Linked DNA regions of Schizosaccharomyces pombe. The protein of the gene in region 1 interacts with the protein of each later gene in a pairwise test. Each region holds a gene or a part of one and is shown on either strand. Other genes may lie near its edges.

What was found.
Region 2: the proteins of SPOM_SPBC530.11C (region 1) and drp1 interact in a two-hybrid assay, tested with the Schizosaccharomyces pombe proteins (one large-scale study listed by BioGRID).

What each region holds. Positions count from the first base shown.
Region 1 is NC_003423.3:813,732-820,377, forward strand, and holds SPOM_SPBC530.11C (transcription factor), read right to left. Parts: upstream 4,799-6,646; 5' UTR 3,739-4,798; coding exon 3,685-3,738; exon of another isoform or gene 3,549-3,684; coding exon 3,468-3,548; exon of another isoform or gene 3,413-3,467; coding exon 1,088-3,412; 3' UTR 647-1,087; downstream 1-646.
Region 2 is NC_003423.3:1,419,748-1,426,005, reverse strand, and holds drp1 (RINT1 family protein), read left to right. Parts: upstream 1-2,021; 5' UTR 2,022-2,096; coding exon 2,097-4,133; 3' UTR 4,134-4,222; coding exon of another isoform or gene 4,223-4,565; 3' UTR 4,566-4,614; coding exon of another isoform or gene 4,615-4,776; 3' UTR 4,777-4,837; coding exon of another isoform or gene 4,838-4,994; 3' UTR 4,995-5,055; coding exon of another isoform or gene 5,056-5,151; 3' UTR 5,152-5,203; coding exon of another isoform or gene 5,204-5,254; 3' UTR 5,255-5,334; coding exon of another isoform or gene 5,335-5,464; 3' UTR 5,465-5,481; downstream 5,482-6,258. Other genes in the region: apl3 (AP-2 adaptor complex subunit Alp3), read left to right, coding at 1-1,336; palmitoyltransferase Pfa5, read right to left, coding at 4,223-4,565, 4,615-4,776, 4,838-4,994, 5,056-5,151, 5,204-5,254, 5,335-5,464; peroxin pas4, read right to left, coding at 6,156-6,258.

The DNA.
Region 1 (6,646 bases):
TCTCATACCCATACTAATAATACTCATTACTATTTATCACTATGTAATTTTTAACGAAGCGTTATCTGTACTTATCGATGTTCACCATACGTTCTTTACTTCCGAAACATAATATTATCATTGTGGTATGATTTTGATAAATCCCGTAATTTTTAATAGCTACAAATAACTTATCTTACTAACGGCAATTGCTAGAAGCAAAACCCTGCTTAATTACTCTTTCATCAGTTGAATGGTAAGCGAATAAGATGAAACTAGTTTGCTATTTTCCAAATTCGTTATTTGCTATGTAAGAGTAAATAAAGTATCCATTCGCAAAAACCTTATTTACATAAACTAATTTATAGTTCACAAAACTAATTCATCATAATGTACCGTAACCGTACGAAAAGTTAACGAAGTAGCTTTTCTGACACGTTGTGTATATATTGCACAGCATTACACCTGTTCAACAAGTGCCGACGGTAAATGGGAAACTTCTAAATCCGTTATCCATCTGGTGGTCGGTCTCCTCCACAATACGCAACTAGTCATTAAGAAGCTTATAAGTGTTAAACCGATTAAGCTAAAAATTAACATGTTTAAACATTTTTCGATTATATTGGAAACAATGGGGGTTATGCAAAAACTCGTAATTTTATTATTATCTTACATCTTCACAATAACTAGTTGTCTGTCATATGCATTTCAAGCAAAGAATCCTAATGGTAAATATTAAAATGAATTCTGGATTCTTTGTAATTAAGAAAGATTGGACCGTATATAAACAATAACATTGTCCATCAGTAGTAATATGCTCAAAACCCAATTGTTACATCGTGTATTTTTCAAAAGACCGGCAATAATATATTTCATACACTCGTCGGAAACTAGGAAAATAGGGGTGTGTGGATAGGTAGGTAAAAATAAATAGGTACTTGCATAGATAATCAATCATGTACAAGCTTCTCAAATATACATTATATGCACATGATCAAAATCTCCATGAAGAAGAGGGACGAGGGAAAAACTTCGGTTTTCCCATTTCTCTTAAAACCCAAAAAAAAGTAGTAAAATAAAAAACTAAAAACAATAACATTTTAATAATCTAAATGCCATAACTGGATAAATTCAGTAAAGTGTTGTGACGACTCAAGTCGATGCACTGCTGCTCCATCTCCTCGCTTGAATTCAGCTGCAGCGGCTTACTTAACAGTACATCACTAGAAGGCGATTGATACCAATCGCATATTTTAATGACCCGACCAAGATCCGATTCAGGATCTACATGCGCAGTACTGGGTTGAAGATTCTGCACAACTGGAATCGACGCTTCTCCGATATCTCCAGGTACTGGTCCGCCATTCACCATTGTCATTAATGATGGTGCTTTTTCGTTTGGCAAGTTTCCAGCGGCTAATGATCCAGTTCCTGGTGAGCGAGGAGGCAGCGATACATTGGTATTGTAGGCTAATTCGGTCAAAGAGCTCTTAGTAGTGGGTGCAGGTTTCGAGTAGGCAAGAGGCACTGGTTGAACGGGTAGGGCTGGAGAAGATTGAGTAAGAATACTTCCGGTAGTTGTTACTCCTACATTACCGCGTTGCTGAACTCCAGTATTTGTAGTATTTGTTTTCGATACGGTAGCAATCACAGGCGGTACACTGGGAGTAACTAATGCGCCTTGATGGAAAGCAATAGCATCTAAAGCCTTAGCGTACATTCCAAGTGCTGGCCAATACACGCTAAGTTGTGCTAAGTGACGCTTCGCTATCGGTAAATGTACGGCCGCCTTGGACGCCTGAACTTCACTACCACGAGTTATATAGTGATACAATAAAACCGTTCCCGCCAAATATGCTGATGATGCTGTAAACGGAGCAGCTAATGAAATGGAAAGCTCAGTACAGTCTTGGATGATTCGACAAATAGCATTAGCACATTGACTAGCAAGAACGGCCGATTGATTCTCAAATACAGTAGGGGGTGACTTGACATGAGAAAACGGAACCGACGATATGGATGCTGCATATCGATGAACATACAGATGTATTTGTAAAAAAATTAAATGTAGACACGCAAATTGGCCACCTTGTCCCATCATATGGTAAGATAGCAAAGTCTGTCTAGAATACCGAAGTCTATTGGGCAAATTCTTCTCCCATTCATATAATTCTTGATCAAGCTGTTTAAAGGTACTTTTGGCATGCCAAAAAGGATAAGGGTTAGATTGTTTTTGACTATACGACTTTAAACACCGTACTACCCGACCCCAAATAGATACCATACGTATCATGTACGCTAACATCCCCATATTATCTTGGGCATTTCGACTAACTATCGGGGCTGTAGTTGGGTTTGCATTAGTAAAACTGTCAGGACTGCTGGGTTTTCCAGTTAAAGTCTCAGTGACAGCATGGGCTTTGTACATAAAAAGAGTCTCACGCATAGGAAGTGGAACGTGTATGTCTTCGAGATTCAAAAATTGGGTATTACAGTATAAAGAATTTAAGCGATCCAACATAAAGCAATCCCAAAACAATCGTCTGGTAAGTTGAACACGGATTTCAAAGGGGAGAGGTGAATCAGGTCTGTCGTAATATGGTAAATTTGGAGTCTTGTTTGGATGAAGGGCAACAACCATTCGAATGGCCATACCCGCAAACATCCAGTATTTACTTGTCGCAGCACACACGTATGAAAGCATTACAAAAGAAGCCACATATACAAGGTCTAACTTATCAAAGTTTGCCATTGCAATTGCCGATGCTCTGTTAAACCATTGTTCAAACAACTCATTTTTGTCATATTTATCTGTCTGCCAAAACCGAATGGCCACTGCACACATAGCCAAAACCAACACAGGTGGAAGGCGCTGAGACTTCAGAGCCTCCATAAAAGAATCCCGATGGAATAGTACATATGGTTGGCCATGCGCGTAGATAAAATAAATATGAGCAAGCTGTAACTGAATATCCAGGCTAGGCAGATTTTCAGAACCTTCCGTCCAAAGAGGACCATCAGGAAGTCTAAAAGAAGCATTGTAAGCAGGATTTATCGAATGATCAACTGATGCAGCTTTAGGTTCGGGGGGAGAAAGAGGACCAGAAACATGGGAAGGACGTAAGGGATGTACAGCAGCCATATCGTTGAGAGGTTCGTGAGATTGTATTTTTGAAGCCGGAGGTGAGAAGCTGAAATCAGCATGGGGAGAGGAAATGTAATCATTTTGATGAGTAGCTGATGAAGACTGAGAGTCTGGAGAGACGGAAAGGGTAAAAGTAGGAGAATGAATGGTGTGTGGATGATGAAAAGGTATATCAACAGTAGGAGGAGTAGAAGGAAGATGAGAGGAATCGGTATCTGGGCTAGTCGACCAGGTATATCTCCCGTGCGGTATGGAAACAGGTTCTTTCTGGGCTCTTTCAGGGGATAACTATGGCAATTAGTAAGAAATCGACCAATAAAGAATGGGTAACAAAGAAACTTACATCATTTTCGTTTTCAGTAAAACGAATTTTCTTTTGATTCAGCTGAGTATTCGAAGCTAAGCGTTTGCGCAAAAAAGGATCCTATCCAAATAGGTCAGTATGAATAAAAACAAAAAAAGGCATATAAATCATCAATAAAAGAAAGAAAAGTAAATCGGTGGATTTTGTATTTCTCCCCATATGCCGACATTAGCAGTTCGAGTCGGTATTGACTTACCTCTGGACTATCTGATAATCTAACGCCGTGGACAGCAGTGGAATTTTCTAACATAGTGCGGTAACCAAAGTATAGAAAATTAAGAAATTACAAAAACAAAGGAGCAAAGGATAAAAAAACAAACAAGTAAGAATGAAAACTCCAAAACCTGACGATGCAAACACTTTTGAAGTCGTTTAATGAAACTCGGGAATTGATGTAAAAACAAACTTAGAATTCCGAGACTATCCAATAATGAACAAAAAGAAATGAATAGATGATACAAACGAGAGTGAAGAAAAGAAAACAAGAGTTAGCTCACGTTAGTATGAATAAATAGAAGGAGGGAAAAAATTATTACAAGAAGATAATAATAACAAGATTAGAAGAATTATATTATCAAAAGAAAAGAAGGGAAGATAGATCAACAGAGAACAGAGAGTAGCAAGAGAAAGACTGGAAGAAAATCGGGAAATGAAAATAGGAAAACAAAAGAGATCCAAACGGATAACTAAAAGAACCCCAAAAACAAGGAGAAAGTGGAAGAGTATGAATAAATTAGATCAATCACTTTGCGACAAGAACGAGTCGTACAAAATGACGAATGAAACGAAAAAAAGAGTAGCAAATTGGGGAGGGATTGGAGATAAAGTCTTTGTGAACTTTGGCTGCTACCACTTTACCGGTGTGAATATTTTTTTCTTGGAAACTTTTTGTAGTTGCAATATAATTCAAAAGTTTACCAAAATAAAAGCAATTTAATTCAATTTTTTTTGACAAAAGTATCTTTGAACTGCGTAAACGAGGTGCTCCGAAAGAGTCTGCGCTCAAGGTAAGGACGGATGCAAAGGATAAAGAAAAATAAATCAATCGCCAATTCGAGCAGATTGATATCGCGGAGTACAAAAGAATCCTTCAACCGAATTAGGTTAATGAAGAAATTGATTCTTGTCGAGAAAGCCCTTGGTAAAGAAAATCTCCGTAAATCCTCCAAATATCGAGCAAATTCACGCGCGTTTCAATCAATCAACTTATGACTGAACTGAAGGAAATTTTCAGAGAGAAATTCTCTTTAGTTCCTCTTCTTAAATGCTTAGTTTACTCTTATAATCAAGTGGGAAAAGTATAGGAAAACGGCAAGTCAAGCTACACGGCCACGCTATACACAACAGAGTTTGATATGATGTTTCCCTCTTCCGGCTAATGAATAAACTACCTGGGAAATGTGTTCCGGGGTAATTTGGTCTACGGTAATCAATTTCGGTAAAAGTCGGTTGACGACCGAGCCACGTTAAACAAACCAGCGATGTGTACACAAGTTTGGGAAATGAGGTTTGCGAGGATCACCGAGATGGAACGAAGTCAACAAAAAGGAGAGAAGGAAAGCGAGGAAAAGAGTGAAGAAGAGAGACAAGAAGGATGTATTCGTCTTTCTGGAGAACTGAGAGTTCAATAATTGTTTTCGCCGTTTATGCTTTTATCCTTTTGTCGATTTTTTGTTTAATGCTAATGGAAAGGAAAGGAGAATGATCGGTAATGAACGGATGGATGGATGGAACAATTTTATGACGAGAAAATGCTTGTTCTGGCAGCTATACTGCTTCAAAAAAAAAAAGCCCCAGACAGATGTATGAAGAAAAGCAGTAGTAGAAAGGAGAAGGTACGTTACAACACTGCTGGTTATAAAAGAACTGGGGAGCGGAAATAAGAATGTCAAGGCCGAACTTAGACGGTGAGTGGGACCAGCAAGACGGAAGGTTGTAAACGAACTAGTGAAAAGAAAGGGATTCAACAAAACAGCCGAGTACTTTATTTGTAGAGGGAACAAGATATAGAAGAACCGAAAATGTGATGTTAACAAACAATATAAACAAAGGAAGAATATAGGTTTGATAAAATAAAAAGAAAAAAAAACGGAAGAGCGAAGAACCAGATCTCAGAGCAGAAATTGAGGGGGAAAACAAAGCAAAAAAAAAAAAAAAAAAAAAAAAAAAAAGCATTCGCTAGACAGAATCTCTTTGCAGAATATGGTTTTCTGTTCTTTTTATATGTTAAGAGTCAAATCTCAACAACTTAACAATTTTGTATTAATCTGTAAACAATTTGATTCTTCCCTACTCAGTTTTCAAGTACACAGTTGTATGCAGCTTTCACTAGCCATATATCCTTGTCCCCTACAGTTCCATTGCCAACGAAAAAATTTAATCGAGCCCTCGTAACGATGGTATTTGAACTGTGTCGCATTTCAACTGCACCCAAGTGTCGGTCTTTTGTTCTTTGCTATACTACTTGCTGGCCTTTTCCGCCTGCAAAATGTGTAATCGGCTTTGTTTACATTGTGCAAAAACCAACCTTTCGCATTTTAAAAACTCCATCATCTTCAGCGGCTTCTACCTACTTTCCCCCCCCAACTTGCTACTCGTTTTCGGATTTTAGTGGGCGTTTTGATCAATGAAAATTTTGCGTCGCAATTTTTTCCTTCCTCCCCAGCTTACCAAGCGATCTATGGCAAGTCTCTTTTCCATTTTTGTATATCGCAACGCAGCATATGTAGTGTGCGCTTCTTTAAAGGTTTATTACGGATCCGAACCAATCCGTTACGGCAGTTGACAAGGTACGGAATTTAAAATGAGTAGTTCGAGCCATGCAACATTTAAATTCCGCATCCTCAACTGCCGTACATGACGCCTCCTATGCAATGCCGTAACCAAGTACCGAGGTGGAAACGCTGAAAACTGCTGAAGCTCGTTAATAGAATAGTGCAATGCGGTGAAGGATGTAAAAAGAAGCAGCGGAGGAAAGGTGCCAAGCAAGAGAGAGTAGTGAACAAGAAAAGAATGGAGGCGCAAAGATTGGGATGCTATGACACTAGAAGGTATCATTCTTGTTTGTACGGCAAGGTTGTTCTACGGAAAGATCTTGTTCAGTGGGGAAAGTGAGAAAGAAAGTGTAGACTTTATCTAGCTTTCATATTTTTGCGACT
Region 2 (6,258 bases), 610 kb from region 1:
TACTATACAACTGCTTCGGATAGCTGGAAAATCCGCTGATGATGGCGTCTGGCATCAGCTAGTTCATGTCATTGTGAACAACGAAGAAATCCAGGAATATGCTACCAAACGGCTATTCAGCTTACTACAGTCTGAAACGATTCATGAATGCTTAGTCAAAGCTGGAGGTTATGTTCTTGGTGAATTTGGGCATTTAATTACCGATTACCCGGACAGCCAACCTGTTCATCAGTTTTCTACAATTTATCGTAAGCTGAATGTTTCTTCTCCCAGTACGAGGGTTCTGCTTTTAACCACTTTAATCAAACTGGCAAATTTGCAGCCTGAATTGAACGATAGAATTGCGAAGGTTTTTCAGGAATATTCTACTATTATAAATCCAGAAGTACAACAAAGAGCATGTGAATATCTTCAACTTTTAAAAATGCCAAGGGACTTTCTCCAATTGGTTTGTGATGAAGTTCCCCCATTTTTAGACGGAAATCGAGATGGAGTGCATCCAAAGTCACGTCCTAGCAGCAAGGTAAATTTGGTTGATACCTATCCTCAAACCATTCCCAATGTTTCCAAACCATCCACGCCCATTGATGTTCCAGAATATGACATATCAGCATGTCTTCCTGGGTTTTATCGTTTATGTTGGAAAGATAAGGGAATTTTGTACCAAGATTCTCAAATACAAATTGGTGTTCGTTCAGAATATCACAATTCAGAAGGCGCCATATATTTGTATTATGAAAATCGACAGTCAAATACGTTGAAGTCACTCTCTTCAACGTTAATTAGAACCTTTTCTACCTTCCATTTAGCAACAACTTTTCAAGATACAAATTTGCCATCAGGAGTTCAACTTCAGCAAAAATATGTTATGAGTGGAGTTAATGAGATATTCGAACCTCCGATTATTCATGTGTCTTATGTTACTGGTGTTATACGTTCGATAGACCTCCAATTACCGGTTTTGTTATCAAAATTTATGAAACCGACAATATTTGACAGCTATGATTTCTTTAACCATTGGGGTCAAATGGGAGTGGAAAGGGAAGCACAGTTAACTTTCGGACTCAACAGCAAAGATAGAAAGCTTGACGCAAAACGACTGACAAAAATAGTTAGTGGATTTCACTGGGGAATATGCCAAAATGTTGATTCTATTGCCCTTAATATTGTAGGAGCAGGAATTATTCGATTTGGTACACAGAATGTTGGATGTTTACTTCGTATTGAACCAAATTACGAACAAAATTTGATTCGTCTATCAATTCGTTCTACTAACACTTCAATAGCAAATACGTTGGCAAAAGAAATGCAAGAGATTTTAAGGAATTCGTTTTAATAGTTGTCGCTGCTACTCTCAAAAATTTTTATTGATTGTCATAGCTTTAATGCCTATGCCTCTGTCCACATTTGATGAGTTGAGTATCTCTTAGTGAAGATTTACCTTGAATTTTATTTTATATACTAACTTATACCCCTTTTATTGGAAGTACGAGAGTACAATACAATTTTAATGTATTCGAAGTGCTGTTCAATGATGTTTGTTATTTTATCTTTGTTTCTTTATATCTATTTGCTTTAGTGAACTTCTTCTAAGTGAAAATACTTATACTGTTTTTAATGGATAAAAACTCTTCCTTATTTGGCACACGCTAGGACATTAAACATCTAAATACTCTGTCTCGAAATATGCGCAGTCGATACCAACAAATCTTAATGTCCTTAATAAAAGTAATATAGACCTGAATAATTGAGACACTTTTTTGCTATTTATATCGTATAATTCACTTCTTTTCGTAAAAGCGACGAAGTGTAACCATCAGCATATCTTTGTCAAATATAACCCACTCAGAATCACAAGTTTGGAAGTATAAGCCAACAATTTATTGAATATTAATTTTTGTTTAATAAAAACTACTCACTTTATATTGCAATAGTCTTATTGTTTAAAACTTCAAACTATATGATATTAGCAACATTAGCGAGCACCGTAAATAAAGTCGTGCCAACACATTGACTATTCCAAAACTGTTCAGAGAAGTAAACAAAGAACCAAATAGCAGCTGAAACTTCATTGAAGGGTCACCTAGGACTTTTTGATGATGTCCCAACAGTTAATTGATTTTATTGATTCAAGAACACGGCATCCTTATAAGTCAGATGAAGTAGAGAAATTTCAACAAGAAGTCAATGAGCTTCAGCTTCCGGATCCTAACTCACTTCCTATTTTAAGCGAAGAAGAAAAGAGGCAGGCTCGCGAAGATGCCGCATTTCGAAGGTCTAGTGAAGGGCTTGAAGACGCATGGTTAGATTCAGCAATACCTGCCGACCCGACGCCTATTTTCCGAGACACAGTTGAGTTATTATGCGTATATCAATCCTTTGTCAAAAAATCGGCTTCTCTCGATACTGTTGCAAATTTCTTAGACTTTTCTACCGATTTTTCGACATTGTCAACGAAGAAAGATGAGACAGAAATTGCACCTGATTGTTTACATTACATAGCCGAATTACTTTTTCAGAAAAAGGAAAGAGAAGTGAAAGAAAAATGGAAGAACGAGCTCACCGAAAAACTTAAGACATTATTTAATTGGCCTGCTATTAACCCTAACTTGAAGGAATCATCAAAATTTGAAAGTTTTTTTGGTTTTGTCCGATCCATTCAATCGTTTAAAGATTCTGAAACAGGTCTTCCATTATTTATGCAGGTGTACATTACCCCCTATGTAAACCAGTTTCGTTACCACTTTATGTCTCAGAAGCAAACAAATGTATTGTCAAAACCAGAATGGTTTTTTGAGTTCTTACTAAAAGTTTTTCGCTCTAATCGTAGTTTCTACATGCTTATGCGTGATATAAAATTTTTTCCCGGCGTCCCTCCATTTTTTACATTTATCAATTTGCTAAACAACGTTGCAAAGGAAAAATTAACGCATATAATAAAGTATGATGATTATTTAGTTCATTTAGTTCACGAAACCCTACAATACTCTGTGCGGTTGGAGCAACATTTTCATTATACCCAAGACCCTTTAATTATTTTTCTTTTTGAGCAAAACGGAACTTATGATAAATGGTTGGGTTTAGAGACTCAATTGAGCCTCACAAAGTTGGAAGATATAAAAATTGCATCAGATGCTTGGGAGCTGGAAAGCGATCAGTCTGATGATTTCAGCTCAGCGGTCCCCACGAAAATGACTGTACGATTTCGAGACATGATTGAGACGACGTTTTCCGTGCTTCAAAATTTACCATCTCTTGATTATCAATTTAATTTTTGGCGATCTGTTCAGTTAAAGCCTATGATGCAGTATGTTAATTGGTTGGAAGCCTTTTATGAATCTCATGAAAGTTCATCATCTATTCATTTACCTGGTAGTCTGCAGACAGACAAATCCAAGTTTGATATTGCTGAAGTTGAACGGATGTGTAAACTTTACAGTAACTTCAAGTTACTCATGGATTGGCTTGATGATATTGAAGATGAGGATGTCTACATTCGTATAGGACATAAAATGGGATCAGAAAACTATGCGGCTTTTTATCAAGTCAAACCTAGATTATCTACTTTAACAAATGGATCTTTTCGCATGATTTTACGTGCAGTTTCGCAAACGTTAAGGCCGTTACTTGACAACTATTCTGACCTTGATACATGGGTAATTAAGGAACAACTTCCTGGTGCTGCTCTATTATCAACATCGGTTTCTGCAGAAATTGTAGGATTTCAGTCCAGGCTAAAAGAAATCATTGCACTGCTCCAAAAGCTTTTGATTGGCTCTTCTCAATGCGAAGCTATATATCAGATTGGAACGTTAGTTGAAAGTTGGATGATAAAAATTGTTATGACCCACCAGTTCAGTGTGAGAGGAGGTGTACAATTTGCAATGGATGCAATGCAGATTGTACTAGAATTTTCAGACTATCCTTTGCTGAAATTCGAGCGATTAATGTCAACTGTTGAGCTACTATCTCTGGAATCGGGAGAAAATAAGCTTATTAAAAAACTAATTATCGAGATTAATCAAAAAAATTATGACTTCATAGATGAATTTTTTAAAACAAAGGAAATTACGCTTTCCTACGAGGACGCACTTGGCGTTTTATATCGGCGAGTTGATGCATGGAAGGATTAATTATTTAAATATTATCTGACTCGAATGTTTCTTTTTTTTTAGAGAATCTAGAAAACAAAGATAGTAACGACATTAATAGATCATAAAAATTAAGAATTCATTGATAAAGCTTTTGATTGCATTTTGCTGACAAAACTTGGACTATACAAAAAATGCTCACCGTCACCTGGTGATCTACGAAGCGGCAAAATCCAATTATACCAATGATCTCCCATTACTGCTCTCCAATTCTCAGAATAGCCTCGATCCCATGGTAAATCACCTGGATCACTTTGAACTAAAACCCTAGAGTCCATGTGCTCGGGGAAAAAGACACTGAAGGAGTAGATCCGTGTCTTCCAGTTTTTAGCCTCATGGCTGTTTATATTTAATAAAAGATATCCCGTGTGTCTTACCAACATTACACCCAAAAATAAAACTCCAAAGGCGGAACTATTGATATAATATTGTTAGCTGTTATGGTGAATAGGGTAAAACTTACAACACAAGAACGAAAATCCAAGTCCCTGGAAGACTACGATAATGATATGTTCTCGATATCATGATTGCCGTACTAATCAAAACCATACAGGCGGCAGAAAATCCATAAAATAGAAATTGGTAAAAGAATTTTTGGTTGGAAAAACAAACATCTTTGCCAACGCTGATCAAAATTAGTGCTTTATTCAAAGATATGCAGATCAGAGGATTTTCGGTTTACGTACAAAGAACAATAATGATCAAATTTTCTAATACATCTCATGCTGACTCTACTGTGATGGGATCGATCGGGCAGCCAACATTTGCAAGTTCCACACATTCGGGGGGCACCATTAGGTCCACATAAAAAAATTGGATTATCGAACCCATAATAGGTGTATACTAGAATAAACTGATGTTAGCCAAACACAATAAAAACAAACTCAATTATTGAATAGCATACAAGTATTACCGCAAAATGAAGGACTTGAAAACAAAACCCTGAAGTATGAAAAATACGCCAACCCGGAAGTTATGAAAAAAAAAATAATAAGTACAACTTTAAAGGTTAGTCGTGTCCATGTTTTAATTTAACTGTGGTAATAGCTTACTTCCTCCTCCTAGGTTTCGGTAGCCATTGCGAATCTTGATATTGGAATCAACTGTATAGAATATAATTAGCATATGACTATATAATGGAAATTCTTTCTTAGCGGTTAGAATTGGCCCTTCATTCACGTACCGCATATTAGGGCTATAAATACCCAAACTGTGTAGCCAGTTGAAAGCAGAATTGCAGCTGGGAAAACAACACCCAAAGTCTTTTGAAGCTTAGAAAATCTCCTCTGTTTCTCTTCTAAATTTGTAGACATGAACTCCAACAAAGCGTTTAGTATATTTGAATAAGAAAGTTTCGAATCTTTAATTTTAAGAAAAACGTAGCGACTGTTGAGGGTTAAAATACAAGTGGTATAAAGATAATTTCAAAAAAATAAATAAATAAGTATACAAAAATAATTTTAGTGGCAGATATCGATTTTGAAATTTTCGAGTGCTATTACGTCTATTACAGAACTATCAAGCTGAAGAGTACACGAAAGGGGCGTAAAAATGTAAAAAGTTTTTGGTACGAAGAACACAGTTTTTTAGAAATAACATATAACTAAAGGTCAAAATGATATAAAATAATAATTGCTTCACGCAAGCCAACGAACATAATTGTGTATTTTGACAAGTAGTAGAAGTGGTTGAGTTGTAGCAACTAAAGCAACTATTAACGCTATACCTAGAGCAGCAAAAGTTTAATAGTTGCAAAGTAATGGAATCTCAGAGAGTAATATTATTAAATGAAACTTTTTTAGCGCATCGTAAAATGAAGCTCATGCTTTTGTACTTAGATCACAGACATATGCTGCGGACGCGGTGATATTATAAGTATAAATTTTAAGTAGAACATGTGTAAATAAGAGGATCTGACTAACAATCGTAACAACGGAAGGACTTGTGTTCCACTTCTCATTATTATGCATTTAACAAGTCAGACAAATCGGAACGATTAAGTATCTACCGGAGTAAAATGATTTTTGAGGGAGAAGAAAATGCGCGGCACAAAGGGCATTCAGATTTTTTGGATGTCCAACCATTAATACATGACCAGCAAAAAATA